Struthio camelus: one gene and its partner. The protein of the gene in region 1 binds, or shares a complex with, the protein of each later gene. Links are inferred from orthologs where the notes say so. Each region holds a gene or a part of one and is shown on either strand. Other genes may lie near its edges.

What was found. The genes of interacting proteins can lie anywhere in the genome.
Region 2: the proteins of VEGFC (region 1) and FLT4 are in contact, whole or in part, in a crystal structure (PDB 4BSK), measured with the Homo sapiens proteins. The link is inferred for Struthio camelus from reciprocal best matches to the Homo sapiens genes VEGFC and FLT4. Residues at the interface, in NP_005420.1 of Homo sapiens: Leu119, Asp123, Trp126, Gln130, Asn167, Arg210; in NP_891555.2 of Homo sapiens: Gln172, His199, Asp200, Ala201, Leu202, Tyr203.

The regions. Positions count from the first base shown.
Region 1 is NC_090945.1:47,927,140-47,934,689, forward strand, and holds the start of VEGFC (vascular endothelial growth factor C), read right to left. Parts: upstream 3,026-7,550; 5' UTR 2,764-3,025; coding exon of another isoform or gene 2,713-2,763; 5' UTR 2,475-2,712; coding exon 2,331-2,474; intron 1,401-2,330; exon of another isoform or gene 1,287-1,400; coding exon of another isoform or gene 1,248-1,286; intron 1,228-1,247; exon of another isoform or gene 1-1,227. UniProt on the Homo sapiens protein: Growth factor active in angiogenesis, and endothelial cell growth, stimulating their proliferation and migration and also has effects on the permeability of blood vessels.
Region 2 is NC_090954.1:7,201,610-7,209,640, reverse strand, and holds the start of FLT4 (vascular endothelial growth factor receptor 3), read left to right. Parts: upstream 1-4,948; 5' UTR 4,949-5,040; coding exon 5,041-5,098; intron 5,099-8,031. UniProt on the Homo sapiens protein: Tyrosine-protein kinase that acts as a cell-surface receptor for VEGFC and VEGFD, and plays an essential role in adult lymphangiogenesis and in the development of the vascular network and the cardiovascular system during embryonic development.

The DNA of each region.
Region 1 (7,550 bases):
ATTTGATTTAAGAAAGTTCAAGTAAATGACTTTTTACTGACAGTATAATCACATTTTCCTTGAACTAATTACTTACAGTTTACTTATTTAATCCTTTCTAATTACTCCAGGCATTCATCTCAATAGTCTCTCATCCCAGGGACAAACACGCACAATACACGCTCACTCAAACAGTTCCAGAAAAAAATCAGGGTAACTCACAACTAAGACTTCCAACGTCACCAAGGCTGCTCAGACGCTGAATCTCATATTACTGTTCACCACTAGTCAGGCACAAAATCATTTTCTTTGTTAATATAATTGTTTAACATATGCTATCCCACTCACTTCCCAGGCTGCTGACCTTTTTCCTTCGCTCTGCTCACGGTTCCCCTTTTTCCAGGGAACACTTGCACTTCTACAAAACACACTTCAGTGGTAGCTCCTAAAGATTTAGAGGTTTCAAGAAGCAGGGTAACTATCTACAGCATGTGCATGGAAACGTACAGCATCACTTAGGAGGGTATCTTTACTATCAGCTGTTCTACCTCAGTAGTTTAAACGCACAAAGTATGCACTGTGCTCCAGTTTTGATTCCTTCTACCTTTTCAGCACAGGCTGTTCTGAGGGTTTACAATACAAAAATCAATTTCACTCAGGAAATAACTGGCTCACTATCATAAGCTGGAGTTTCTTTGTTTTTTATGTTTTTTTAAAATTATTTAGACTATTTATAACAATGCAAAACTTAGTGAATGATAAGATAAAATAAGTGACCAGCCAGACTGATTTTGTGTCCCTATTTTTAAATATTTAGATTTGCAAAATACTTGATAAGCATTCAAGCAATATAATCACTTAGAGCATTAAGGATGTTAATATATAAGCATTCAGGCTCTAATTGAAATGTCTGAAGAGGGAGTACAATATCCTCAGTAACCTTTTCTATTTAGAGTATTATTGGAAAAGCATGAATTCTGTGAGCTACACATGGTCTACAACAGCTTGAATATCCAAAATAAGTACAGCTAATGCACATTATCAGAACCTGAGTCTGACTTCCCATCCAATTACAGTAAACTTTCCTAAACTTTCAATCAGTAAAGCAAACAGCATTAGTATATTAAACTTATTTCATTAACCAGATTAAAAATATCACTGTAAATCTAAAAAACAAAAAAGTGCAGAATAGCAGCTGAACTCGTAATTCACACATTTTGTACTTTTTTTCCTCCATACTTCAGTGGATAATGAATGAGCTGACTCACCATTGCTTTTGACAAGTATGCTGCGAATCTTAAGAACATCTACATCAGGGTAAGACTTGTTACGAACTCGGACATCAAAGGTCTTTCTAATAACATCGCCTGCTTACACAAGTATATACTACACATCCTTTTCATGCATCAGCGTACTGGGAACTGCAAAACCACAAAGTTTGCTGAAAGGTACTTGAATTCTAAGTTATGAAACTTCCAACAGAAATAAAAATTAACATACAATCGGAACTTGAGAACGTATGTAGAACCTTAACTGTACTGTACGCCTGGACAGTTTTCAAATCCAAGTGTCAAGTTACACCTTCTATAAACTCTGTCACGCAGCAGTAGGTCACTGCAGTTTCAATAACTCCAAGAGACTTTTCAACAAATGGAAAGTCTCAGTTTTTGTTGTCATCGTCCCCCACACGTTTCCCTCGCTACTTCATTCCTATGCACAGCTGCTGCTCGAAGCGGTGCTCAGCCCTTCCTCCAGCAGCTAGCTCCCCGCTCTGCCCCGCCGAGCCCGTCGCGGGCACCCGCACAAAGCCGCCGGCGCCCCCCGGCCCCCCGCAGCCCTGCCCTCGCTGAAGAAGCCTCCAGGGCCGCCGGGACCCGCCGGCCGGGGAGCACTCCGGCTGCCAGCGCCGAGGCAAGCGACAGCCGAAGCCGCGGGTCGCTGCCGCCTCCGGGCCGAGCGGCGGCCGGCGGGGCCGCGGCCGCGACCTCTCCCCGCGGGACAGCCCCCGGCCACGGCCACGCAGCACCAAGGACCGCGGCAGGGGCACAGCCCTCGGGCTGCCTTTGCTGATCAGGTGTTTTGCGTTTCTTTGTCAACACGGTTCTTCCCTCTGCAACCACCCTTCCAGCAACCCTGAAAAAAACCCAGAAACTTTTTTTTCTTTTTCTTTTTTTTTTTTGGCTTAAACAAATCCCCCCAACCCCCACCCCGGGTTTTGGAAGAGCTCCCATTTCAAAAGGCTTCTCCCAAATATTTTCCTCCGCGGGATTTCCAAGCAGCCCGTCCGAGCGCACTCTCAGGCGCATGCCTGCAGAAGGCAGCTCGCATCTGCTGCGGGGGCACGGACGTACCTTCGCCTCCCCCGCGTCGGGCTCCTCCTCGTAGTACCCCTGGCCGGACTCGTAGGCGGCGGCGGCGGCCGGCTGCCGGGGTCCCAGGAGCACGGCGCCGGCAGCCAGGCAGCAACCCAGGGAGAGCACCTCCAGCAAGTGCATTGTGCAAAGATGGCAGGGCGGGCGCGCCGCGGAGCCACGGGGCACTTGGAGGAATGCAGGCGAAATTAGGAGGCTCCTTCTCTTCCTCTCCCCCTTCTTTTGCTGCCGTCTCCCCCCTCCCTCTCCTCGCAATATCCAAGGCAGTAAAATCCGTGGGATGGAGAAGATGCAGTAGCAGCAGCTCCTAGACGCCTGCAGGGGAGTTCCCAACTTTCCCAGCCGCTTTGCAAATTCTCACCAAAGTTATCCGGAGTTTGCCAGGTAAAAAACCCACCAGGAAACCGGACATCCGAGGCTGCGCTCACTCAGGAGCAGGGGAGGTGGAAAGCGCAGAGAGGAGGAGGAGGAGGAGGGAAGGAAGGGAAGGGAAGGGAAGGAGGCAGAGAGAGAGAGGCAGAGCGGGAGCGAGCGGACGCTCACCCCTGGGGAGCTCCCGCCTCCCCGCGCAGCCCCTGCCCGCGCGGGCCGCGCCGCGGCGGAGGCCGAGGGGTGCGCAGAGGGGCGCCCGCCGTCCGCCGCCGCGGAGGGCTCGCCGGACGCCTGTCAGCGGCAGCGCGGCCGGGGGGTGCGCGGCGCCCGGGGCTGCGCGGCGGCCGCGGGGGCCGCGCATGGCGAAAGCGCCCTCTGCCTGCGCCTCTGCGCGGCGAGAGGGGGCGGCCGGCCGGTCGGCCGGCCTGCCTCCGCCTCCGCCTCCTCCTCCTCCCGCCGGCGGATCCGCCAAAGCCTACCGCCCTCTAGGTCCCAGCCCCGAGGGGAAAGCAAAGTTCGTCGCCGTTTCACCCAGCGGTTCCGCCACCGCATGCGGTTGGTTAAACCGCGCACCCAGCACGTCTGCAATCTTGCAAGAAAATTTCTGTTTAGTCCTGATCGGTTACTTGTTGAGCAATATTGGCTGCTCCATCTGCGAGAGTGTAACAGGCACGCAGCTTTTTTAACTGGAGGGAGAAAAAGATTTCGGCATGTTAGAAACAGACCCTGAACAGTACCTTATTTATCTGCAGTATTCCCGTCAATGAGAGTCTGGAGCCATCTTTGAACAGAAGTTCCCCCAGTTCAGAGCCCTACATAAAACAGCATAAATATGTTTTTCAGAGACACTATGATTAAAAATAAGGCTTGAGTTTTTTCTTTGTTGATGTTACTTTTTTCCTTTTAAGTACAACAAGTGGAGAACTGCATATTGCAGTAACAAAGTACAGCCTGATCAAATCCCAGCGCTGTGAAAGGAGGAGTTATATTCTGTATATTATTATTTTTGTTTGATGTGAACAGCGTTTCTGAAACTCGTGCAAAAATTTTAAAAGCTTTTCAAATTATTCTGCATCACACTTATACTTCTTTTGGTAAGAGAATTGTAAGAGAACAGATTTCTGACTGCCTTGGCTGGATCCTGGCTCTCTACTCCTATTCTAATATTCTTATTTCTGGAGTAATCCCATTATGGAACTACTTAGGGAATGACATTCAAAAGGTTATACATGAAGGTATCTCTCCATCAGGTCTTTAGGTACCTTCTATTCTTTCTACTCTATTCTTTATCAGTCTTAAGGTGGTAGATCAGCTAATAAACTATGTGGATACTACGAAACAATCACTTCATTTACAATCTGAAAAAAAATCTAAAATTTAAATAGAGCTACATTTTAACACAATTATTAAAGCACTAACATTTTTTCAATATCTTCACAGGAGAGTAAAGCAGCAAAATGAAGACAGTGGTAGAGGTTAATCAGAACAGCTATAAAGATATAAAACATAAATAAATTACAAAGCTTATTGTCCTTCAGTGGAGCCTTACAACACTGCAGATCAAAGTATAGGATTGAAGCCAGCCAGCCAGCACGCTCCAGGATGCAAAACTCATCTAAGCCAGGAACACAGCATCACTGGTTTGAGTTCAAACATGCCAAAAACTCTCAGAAGCATCACAGACTACTGCAGAAACAGAGGTATTTTGCAGCATGTTAATAAAACTGACCTGACAATATCCATTTCAATAGCCAAGTGTCACGCAGAGAGCATCTCTCAGTAACTAGATCACGAAACAAGATGAAACACTGTTCATGCTGTGCCATCATAGCATCAGCTGGCTTCATCGTTTCCCCAGTTCTCTTTACGTTCTCATTCTGTCCTTTTCCTTCCCCAATTCATAGAACTTCCATCATGGAGTCAAATATTTTCATGCAAGAAAGCACTTTCACTGACTACTCTTGTATACTTGTATATCAAGTTTAAAGTGTCATAATTGAAAGCTTGTAATCGCAATCATAGCACCTCAAGTCACAATCTGATCATAAGGTTTCTAGATTTCAGCCTATTCACTTACTGTATACTTTCTCTGCAAAGGAGTGACTATACCTTTGGCTAAGGGGTAACATTTTAAGGTTTTCCTCATTTCAGGCTGCATTTTTCTCAGTCCCATAAAAGACGGCCAATTTAAATGTTTACCGATTTAAAATCTTTTCTCCGTTCCTCATCACCAAGCAGTTGGTATTCCTTTTCTCGTCTTCAAATTAAGCAGAAAACATTATAATATTATTTATATGAAAATACCCAGATAAGGCCTACAAGGTAACTAATTTAAAGTTTTAAGTGAAATTAATACACTGGCAATGAACTGATCTTCTAAATACAAATGAGAAAAGAGATATCCTTAATAGTGCAGAAATACAGTTCTAGGTCTGGCCATGTTATGTTTTAAAGGCAATGATAGCTACTGTTGACAAACAAAGGAAATCCTTGATGTAAGCTCTATGACTCCTTCAAATGAATTCTCTCAATGTGGTTTTAAAATTACATTAAAAAATCCAGACTCCCCCTTAATTAAGTTGGTGTAATATACATCTGTCAAGCACATTCCTCTCTGAGTCTAGACATACCTGATACGCTCCTGTTTAATACATCCTGCCTCTCAAATGTGGATGTGTTTCAATAACTGTTTTCTATCTGTAATCATTAGCAGTAGGAAAACTCAGAGAGGAGCCACTGTAAGAAACGTGAGCTGAGACTGGGGGATTAAAAAGTGTCAATAGCAGCAAAAAAAAAAAAAAAAAAAAAACCAGTAGCATGCTATAGCAATTTGCTCTGTTTGCTTGTTGTAGAGTTTGCTTATTTTAGACTTTTCAAGGCTAAAAAAACCAAGCTGTTGAATGTTTTCTTTTGCCGTTTCAGTTCTCCTTATATTTAAACTTTAGCTAGTCATAGTTTTGTGTTTGATTCAAAACATTTGCATTTTCTCCTTAAATAGACATATAAAGGCATGTTTAAGAGTTAAAAAAAAGACAAATAGTCCTGGTTTGCTTTTGTTTTAACACAAAGTTGTCAGTGCTTAATGGTGAGTTTCAGAAGGATTTATATTTAATGTAACATTTAAAAGATGGACATTGTTGTTCTTAAGTGCTGCAACTCAAACAAACATGGAAGCTCCGTTCTGGAGTCATTCCAAAAGATGAAGGTACTCTTGTAAACCTCAGCTCCCAGTCCTGCTAAACACACAACTCTCCCATATTTCCTACAATGCTTACAAGCATGAAAAAAGTGTTTGGATACCAATCAGCATCCTAACTATCAAAGCCTTACACAAGATACTACAAAAAAGCTTAATTATATATCTAGAACAACAACGAAAAACCATTTCAGATTCAGTATCAGACTACTGAAACAGCAGAATCACTAGTGAATCTCCTGCCCATTGAATCTTTTAGTCTCAACTGTTGCTACACATTTCTTACCATATTGCTTGATGCCTTTTACCGACTTTAAGTCCTATGGAAGGCTACTGAAAAATGACACAGTGGATTTCAGGTTGTAGTCTGCTTCTTTCCTCAAACTCTCTTGCATATATAAAACATGCATATGATTTACAGTAAACACTTAGGAGTACTGCAGTTTTACTAATTGTATGCATAATGGCCTTCCTCACTTCTCACAAACAAATTTAAAAGTACAAATTTTTTTATACGGGCCCATATTAGTATTTTCTTGTATGATCCTAGAAGGATTTAAGCATGGTGGCTTGAAAGTCACCTGAAAGAACCAAAATCTTTCCCCTGACTTCAATCAGGCGTCTTCTCTGTAAAGCATAACCCATGGGAAACTGTTCTTTGCCAAACCCTCAGCCAAGGACTCCGAAATGTAGCTTTATCCATTCATTTGCCCTAAACGTATTGCCAAGATGAATAACTTTAATTCAATGAATAAAGATGTCATTGCTGCAAAATCATTTTCTGCAATGCTTAGCCTAATAACTTGCATTTTTTTATTATCTGGGAATTTTGCTTTCTTTTGGTGTAAAAATTTGTGACTCTTGAAAATTAATTAATAAGACAAGAATCCTTATTCTTCAGCCCTTTGATAGTGGTTGATATTCAGGGCTTATGGGATTATTGGGCTTTCTTTGTTCTCAGGGATCGTCTTTCTAAACTTTTAAAATCAAGACTGTTGGCACGTGACATTAGAATCCCCCAGTGATACAGACTAGACAACTGCATTAGCATAAAATCCCTGCAATCCTCGCTGTCTTAAGGGGGGGTTGGTAGAATCAAAAAATGGGCAGCACCAGGCAGCATCTCAAGGAAAGTTTTTGAATTCTCCAAAGTAAACTGTATCTCTAAAGTTGCTCTAAACTTGAATGGAGAAAGCACTAGCACACATTTTATCCAGCTGTCTTACATAAGGATCTTTCTCTTCACTATAGTTTTTTCCTCTCGTGATGCAATGTCTCACACAAGAACTGGTATGCAGAGAGTATTGATTTAACTTCATATAAAGTAATTAATCTCTCCATGTAGCAATGCTGTTCATAGTTATAACCTCTGACTATAAACAATAAAATGACTGATCATAAGTTTACACTGCCTCTTAAGTGAAAGCTGTGTGCAATCTAAACTGTCTACAATTGAAGTCACATCACTATATAAATAAATTTGGATTCTACAAAACATTAGGATTTAACAGCACACGACCATTATGCGTACAAACTCTCATCATGATACATTACTTGCCAGCAGTATTCTTCAAAGCGGCAATCTTATGAGATAAGGAATGTGCTCAGAATCTTTATTCCCCGATCACAAT
Region 2 (8,031 bases), on another chromosome or scaffold:
CCAAGAACATGAGCGATGCCCGCGAGGGCCTGCATCCATCGTGTGCCACCGGGGTGGCCACGCATGAAGGATTTCTGAGCCCAGATGAGGGGATTTCCTCTGCTTGGAGCGCGTTTCCCGGGAGGCTGCAGGACCGCTCCCGGCAGAGGGAGCTCCGTGCTCGGCCAGAGCATGGCCCGGGCCCCGCTGCACCTGAGAGGCCGCGGGACTGGCTCCCCCCAGCTCTAGCTGCGGTGCCACCATTAAAGCTTCGAAAGGCTGCTGCCTGCTGTACTGGCTCGTGTCTTGCAGACTGCAGAGGAGCCCGAGGGCTGGGGTATGGCACGACCCAGGGGGATGTGGAGCAGCCGTGTGTGGCTCCGGTCCCTGTTCCGGGCCAGGCTGCTTCCCCTCTGCCCTGTAGCACAGGAGCTAGGAAGAGAGATGGTCCTGGAGGGCTGGGCGGCGGGGATGTGTGTGCAGCGGTGTTTGGGTTAGGGCAGCCCGTGCCAGCGCTGGGGACCTGGCGGGTGTGCAACCTGCCGCGCAGCTACTTCTGCATTGAAGCAACTGGGGTTTTAGATGTTCTTCTGATCCCAGCGAGGGACTTTCCCTTATGGGAGCAGTGGCTGCAGCGGCCCCGCCGTACCCTTGGGGCGCTCCCCAGCCATCTTGCCAGATGCTTTTAGCCTTTTGCTGACCCCCTTGGTCGGACTGCTTGGAAAGGGGGCCGTGTTGGGGGAGAGCTGGCAGCGAGCGCGACGCCCCAGCCTGGAGGAGTGGGGAGGGTTCGTCTGAGCCAAGCCCAGGCCTGGGGCCTCCGCGTCCCGACAGCGGGCACCCCGAGGGACGTGGCTCTGCCTGTGCCCCAGCCTCCCCGCTGCTGCAAAGCATGAGGCAGCAAGGGCCGAGCACGGGACGGCCTTAACTGAGAGCCCAGCCAGGGACTCGGGTCTCTGTGTGATCCGGAAGCCGCCCCGTCCTGGCTGGCTCTGGAGCATCCCGGGTATGGCGGATCGTTGCATGCGGGCGCTCGCTCCTTCCTTGGCTTTGTAGCCCCTCTCGTGCCCGCGTGCACCCTCGCGCCGAGCACTGGCTTGTCCCGCCGTAACGGTGGCGGATGCTCCGGCGGCACCGAGCCGATTCCTTCCCCCCCCGGAGCAGCCCTGGCGGGAAGGCAAAGCCGGGCTCCCCCAGGGAGAGGTCGACTGGATTCTGCTGCCGCGGTTTTCGCCCGCGGGGAGGCCGGCTGCATTGCCGTCTCGCCTCGGCGGTGCTTCTGGGAGGCCGGAGGTGCTGGGGCCGGGTGGGCGGAGGCCTCGGCCGTGGCCGGGGTGGGATTGCCGTGTTTATGCCACCGAAGTCCGCTTCGGGGTCAAAGCGGAGGCCGCCGCTAATCCGGCCCCGCGTAGCCTGAGGTGCTGGCGGGAGCGAGGGAGCTCTCGCTCTGCAGAGGCTCGAGGCCCTGCGCCGCGGTGAGGGCCAGGAGGGCTTCCCGGCTCCTTACAGCCGTGCCTAAGGACGTTCGTCCCAGCGCGTCCTCCGCCTGTCCCTCTCCCTGCCCCGCCGGGCACGGGGGCGAGGGGCTCTGCCTTGCAGCGGCCGGAGGAGAGCGCCTTGCAGGGAGCGCGGGCGGATGTCCCCGACGCCTGCCTGCCCTGCTCTTGGCGCGTCCCCTCGCCGCCCGCCGCGAGCAGGGGAAAAGCAGAGCAGGAAGAGCCGCTTGCTCGGACAGGCTGCAGCGAGCGGGCGAGATGCCGGGGCGGTTCGACGGCAGCGGCCCGTCGTCTCCCCCCCCCACCCCAGGGTGGCTCTGCTCCCGAAACGCAAGCAGCTCGGGCTCGGGAGCGAACGGCAGCCATCGCCGGGCGGCGGGATGCCTGGGGGACGGCGGCACCGCGCTCGGCACGGGCTGCCGGCAGCGAGCGGCACCGCCGCCGCGGGCCCAGCCCCGAAGCGGCACCGCTGCCTCCCTGCTCCTCCCTGAAAAAAAGCCGCGTTGCACCGAAGCCCGCTGCCCGGCGGAGCGGGCATCCGAGCGCGCGAGGGCCCGGCCTCGCTCTCTGTCCCCTGGAACGGGCCGCGTTGTCCTGGCTGCTCCCCTGGTCTCGCTCTGCCGCACGTCCCGCCGTTAGATGGCAGCACGGGCGGGCCGGTCCCCGGCCGGGTGCCAAATTTGGACTGCACGGAGCTAAGCGATGCCGAAATGCTTCGGCTTTCGGGGTGCCGGGGAGGTCGGGCCGCCTCTCGGCGGGGCGCTCCCTCCAGCCTCTCGCCCCTGCTCGCGGCTCCATCGCTCTGGCCTTGCCACGGCCGGGAGCACCGGGGCGGCGCGGCTCCGCCGAGGGACCCCATCCCGCGCTGCCCGGCCTTGCCGGGGCCCCCTCGGGTTTTGGGCCGGGAGGTTGGTTCAAGACGAGCGTGCTGAAGAACAGCCCGGCCGGGTGCTCTCGGGGTTAAAAGCTCGCAAAATCCTCGCTGGGGCCGTGCTTGCGGCGGCTGCGGCTTGCCTCGCGGGCCGGGCAGAAGGGCTGCCGGTGTTTCTTGCGCAGGCTGGGCAGCGAGAGCGCTCGAGCGCGCAGAAGGTTTTCGCGCCTGTTTAAAGCCGCGAGCACACGGGTCTCCTTCGGGCTTCTGCAAACGGGCCGTGATTAATAAACCGCCGCGGCGCAGCGCGGGGCCGCGTTTCTTTATTTATTTAAAGCTCCGCACGACGCTGCGTCCGTCTGCACGGAGATTACCGGTTACTAGCTGCTAATTGAATGGCATTTCTGCACAGCTCTCCGCTTTCATCTTCTTCGCGGGGTTTTTTCCCTCTTTCTTCATTGCTTGGTGGCGCCTGGCCCAAGAAGGAGATTTTTTTTTCCCTCCTTCCACCAGCTCTGGAGCTCCTGACCGCCCCGGTACCCCGGGATCCTACGGCCGGCCGCAGGGACCCCGCGGGCCGGCAGGCACCCGCGTCGGCCACCCGTCGCGTCCAGCCGCCCAGGGTGCTTTCTCAAGGGACGGTTTTGCAGGGGCGCGAAGCCCGGCCTCGCTGGCAGCGGCGCGGGGGCAGCGGCGCTGGCTGGGGGCGCGCGCGGAGCTGCGGCAGCAGCTGGCAGCGCCTCGGCGCCCGCGGCGCAGCCGAGCGCCTTCCCGGCCGCGCGTGGCAGATGGCATCCCGCCGTCCGCGGAGGAGACGGCTGCGGCCCCCGGGGCAGCCGAGGGGCGTGCGGAGCGGCCCACCGGCCCCACGGCTCCCGGCGCCCCTCGGCTCGCCGAGGCGGAGGGCTGGGGCTGGCAACGCGCCTGCAGGATGAAGAATGACTTGAAAAGGGAAAAGCGAGCGGAAAGAAAGCAGCGAAGAGCTGGCGGAGGAGGGAGCAGGCAGGGAGCAGCCCGTGCCGCAGAGGGTGTCTCCGCGGGCCGGCGTGCGCGCCGGCCCCGTGTTTCGTGGCACGCACGTGTCTGGGTGCGGATTCGGGCGCGGGTCTGTCGGCGAGGGGTGCCGCATGCCACGTGTAGCGGTGCTGGGGAGCGGAGCGGGTGTGCAGGGGGCGAGGGGCCGCGCAGCGACGCGGCTGCCCCACGCTGCCGGCGGCGTGCACGGGCGGGCTGCAGCACCGGGGCGCCCTCGCGCCCCCCAAGGCGAGGGTGTGCGGGAGCGAGGCTGCGCCCGGGGCGGGAGGAAGCGCGTGTGCGTCGCTGTGTGCCCTTGGGGGGTGTGCGGGGGGAGCGGGGCTGCAGGAGAACTGTGTGCCTAGGCGTGCGTGTGCAGGTGTGAGGTGTGGGGTATTGCGCGCGCGTGTGTGTGTGTGCATGCAGGCATGAAGGGGTGTGTGCGTGCAGGTGTGAGGGGTGCATGTTCAAGTATGAGGCTTGTGCGTGTGCATGCTGGTGCGAGAGGATATTTGTGTGCATTCCCACAGGTCTGAGGAAGTGTGTGTGTGTGCACACTAGCACAAGTAAGGGGCAGGGGGTGCATCGGCATTTGCACGCAGATGCAGGGTGATGCGTGTCCATGCAGATATGAGGAGGAGCGCAAGCATGCCCACACGGATGCAGGGGGTATGCACATGCGGACACACAGATGCAGGGCACCCATGCACGCAGATGCAAGGGGATACACACACTTGCACAGAGGCATGGGGAGGACGCACACCCGTGCACGCCAGAGCAGGGAAGAAGCACAGCGACACACACAGGTGCAGGGTTCTGCACACACAAGCACACAGGTGCAGGGGGATGCAGACACATGCACACAGGTGCAGGGAGGGTACACACACAAGCAGATAGGTGCAGAGTGGTGCACATACGCACACAGGTGCAGGAGGATGCACACACAGGTGCACACAGGTGCAGGAGGATGCACACACATGCACACGGATGCAGGGTGGTGCACACACGCACACAGGTGCAGGGTGGGTGCACATACAGGTGCACACAGGTGCAGGGTGGGTGCACACACACACACACAGGTGCAGGAGGATGCACACACATGCACACAGGTGCAGGGTGGTGCACATACAGGTGCACACAGGTGCAGGGTGATGCACACACACGCGCACACGGGTGCAGGGGGAAGCACACACACACGCACACGGGTGCAGGGGGATGCCCATGGCTGCCCACGCATGAAGGAGGGCTGCAGCGGGGAAGCAGAGGCATGCACTCCGGTGAAGGGAGGGACGCACATGCACACACACACAGAGTCCCCCCGCCGCCCCCCCCCCGGTGCAGAGGGATGCACACACAGCCGTGCGGGGACACACGCCCACCCGCGCGGCGGCGCGGCCCCCGCACCCAGCGGCGGGGCGCAGGCGGCGCCGGCAGGTGCGCCCCCCTCCCGCGCCCCGCCCCGGCCCCGGCCCCGGCCCCCCCGCGCCCCGCGGGCCCGGCGGAGGGCGGCGGGCGGCCGGCCGGGCGGGCGGAGGAAAAGGAAGCGGCCCCGGTGCTCCCCGCCCGCCGCGCGCGTCGCCGCAGCTGGGGCGCGGCGGGAGCAGAGCTCGGGCGCGGGGCGCTCCGCTCCGCACCGCTGCGCACCGCTCCGCGCCGCCGGGACCTGCCGCCGCCCCGGAGATGAAGAGAGTTTGCACGCTGCCCCTCTGGCTCTGGCTCGGCTTTGTCTCGGAGGCAGGTGAGCGGCACCGGCCCCCGCGGGGCGCCGGGCGAGGTGGTGCCCCCCTTCCCCCCCCCCTCCCCACCCCGGGCAGGCTGCCGGGCGGCTGCGCCCCTTCTGCCCCGCTGGCCGACGTGGGGCGGCCCCGGCGGGGCTGTGCCGGGAGCCGCCGCTGCCGGGTCTGAGCCCCGACGGGCACCGCCGCTGCCCGCGCCGGCATCGCCCGGCCCCGACGGGGCCGCGCCGCGCACCGGCGCTGCCGCCCCGCTGTCCCCGCTGGGGACGTGCCGCGCCCCGACGGGCACCGCCGCCGCCCGCCCCGCTGTCCCCGGCGGCCGGGATGGGCCGGGCCGGGCCGGGCCGGGAGGGCGCCGTCGCGGTCCCCTCGTCGCCGCCTCTCGCGGGGCCGCGGCGGGGGCTGCGGGCGCGCCGGCGGGGCAGCGCGCAGGCCGGCTCCGCGCTCCGCTCCTTCCCTGCGCAACGCTCCTCCTGCCGTAGCGCTTCTGGGGCGAAAGGGCCTTGGGGCAGAGAGTTGAAGCCGCGGGCCGCGGCGCGGTGCGGATGGACGCCGGAGCGCGGCGGAGAGACGGGGCTGCGACCCAGCCGCCCGGGGCGCGGAGGGCAGGGTGCTGGGCCTGGCGGGGTGCGCGTGGCCAACCGCGTCTGCTTTCCCGGCTGAGCCTCCGCGGCCCCGCGTAGCGCGGCGCTCCGGGCTGTTGCAGCGGGGTGCGCGTTGCTGTGGGTCCGCGGGGGCCCTCCCTTCCTGCGCAGAGCAGGGAGCTGATTTTGGTGCCAGGAGGCTGCAGGGTGGTGAGTGGCGTATCTCGAGGGGTACCAGGCCACCGCTGCCAGCGGAAAGTGGGCACGGAGCAGGCAGGGAGCGACGTGGGGCGCTCGCCACCAGGCAGGAGCCCAGGGAGTGGGCGTGGGGCACCAGCTCCACCGTCTCAGGCTGGGCACGCTCCTGGATGCAACAGCAAAGCGTTGACAGCCCAGATAAGAGCGAGGCTGCCAGAAAAGTTAGTAACGCAGGAAGCTTCCAACATGGGGAGATGAATTTTGGGAGCATAAATAGAATTCGCTGTAACCTCAGCTCGGTGACTCACTGTCACCGGCTGCGTTTGCTGCCGTCGTCAAAGCGAGCTCGCAGGAGGGCTGCAGGTCCAACCCGTCCCTGCTGCGAAGGGTACGGAGGTGTGTTATGGGGAGCATCGCTGGCAGAGGGCACTGCCAGGGCAGGACCACGGGGAGGGCACCACACGGAGAGCTTGCACTGTCCCAAATGCTGCCAATTTGCCTTGTGTCCTGGACTCGCCAGGCTGTTGGACCTCAAGGGGAGCTCCGGGAGGCAGGGTAGAAAGGGACTTGCTGCTGGTGGCATTGCGAAGAGAGCTGCAGCTGTTCAAAGCCCTTTTGTTAGCAATTTGTAAAGCATCTTGTAGCTGTTCCTCAGGTTCTTTCATCTCCCGGAGGTGCTGGGAGCTTTGCCTTGGGGATACTCTGACCAGCGCGCTGCTGCGTGATGTGTGGGCCTAATCAGCTAAGGGCTGTGCAGAGCTTTGAAGCTCTCCAGCGCTGCCTGATTAGTGCCACAAGGAAGGTTGACACAGAGCTCGACTGTGGGACCCAATGTCTCGTGCACAAAGCACCCACAAATTCTTCAGTGCATCAAATCCCCATTTAACGTCTTTACAGCTAGGTGCAAATACTTGCTCTCCCTGGAAGCAGGGACATGGGTATGAGATTGGTCCACCCAGAAGGTAAGAAGGATCTTGAGACTGTGAAAGATTTCTTCTGCTCTCACTCTGGTTCCTGTGTCCTGGGTATTGCTGCACCCCATCGCTGGGCTAAATGGGCCATCGCGGATTGGGGGTGTCTGCCTCTTTCTGAGAGCGCGTGGCCTTTCGCTCTGTCCCGGCTTGGAGGTTCTCTGCAGGGCGCGTGGTGGACGCGGGCTGCTGCCCTCTGCCTGGATGGAGCAGCCGCGGTGCTGCCCTGCGCGCGCACCATGGCGGGGAGCAGACGGGGTGCGTCTCGGGGTGGCCCTTTGCGGACGGCGCGTGGGAGCGTGCGCTCCCTGCCCGGCTCTTGCAGCGGCGGTGAGCAGCCACGCTCTGCGCCAGGACGAGAGCTCACCGCCCCGCAGCCGAGCAACGTCGGCGGGGGACCCCAGCTTGCCGCTTTGAACATCATCTCTCAGAAGGGCCCGTGCCTGTGTAGGACGCGGGCCGACTGCGTTGGCTGAAGCCGCGTACCCTCCTCGAAGAGCGCGCAGACCTCCCCCCGTCCGGGTGCTGCTCGGACGGTGCCAGCAGCAACATTTGGGTTTGCAGCTGCGATTTGAAGCAGTTGCTTTATTGCAAGTAATAAACAGGGGCCATTTCGGCAACACCCTTTCGTGAGCGCGCAACCAACCCCACTCTGGTTTAATCCAGCCACTTGTTAGTGCTGAACCAGATCCAGGGCCGGGGAGGCGGGCGATGGGGGGGCTGCGGGGCCGCAGCTCGCGAGCGCTGCTGCGGGGCTCCCGGCGAGGGGGCGGCCGGAGCCCCCGTGCCCTGCTGTCTGTTTAAGGAGAAATTCAGATGAATGGGCTGCAATTACCACCCTGGGATTTGGCTCGGGCACGCGAGCCAGCGGCTCCGTGCCTGCAAAAACAGCCACGAGGATGTTTGTTGCCGAGCTGGAGTTGACGTCTGGCCGGGGGACACACCCCCAGCGGCACAATGTCCCCGGGGCAGCGCGGGACGGGGACGGACCCATCCCGGCCAGGAGGGGGGCTACCTCCGGCATCGCCCACCCCGCTCCGCCAGCCCGCCGAGGGCTCTGGCACGCGTGCCGCCGCGCGCGCGGCATCGCCGCCCCCGGGGGGGCGTCTCTGGACCCCGCGGTCGGGCCGCCCGGCGCCCTCGGCGTGGGAAGGGCAGGTGTTCCCGGCTGGCCTGGGAGGG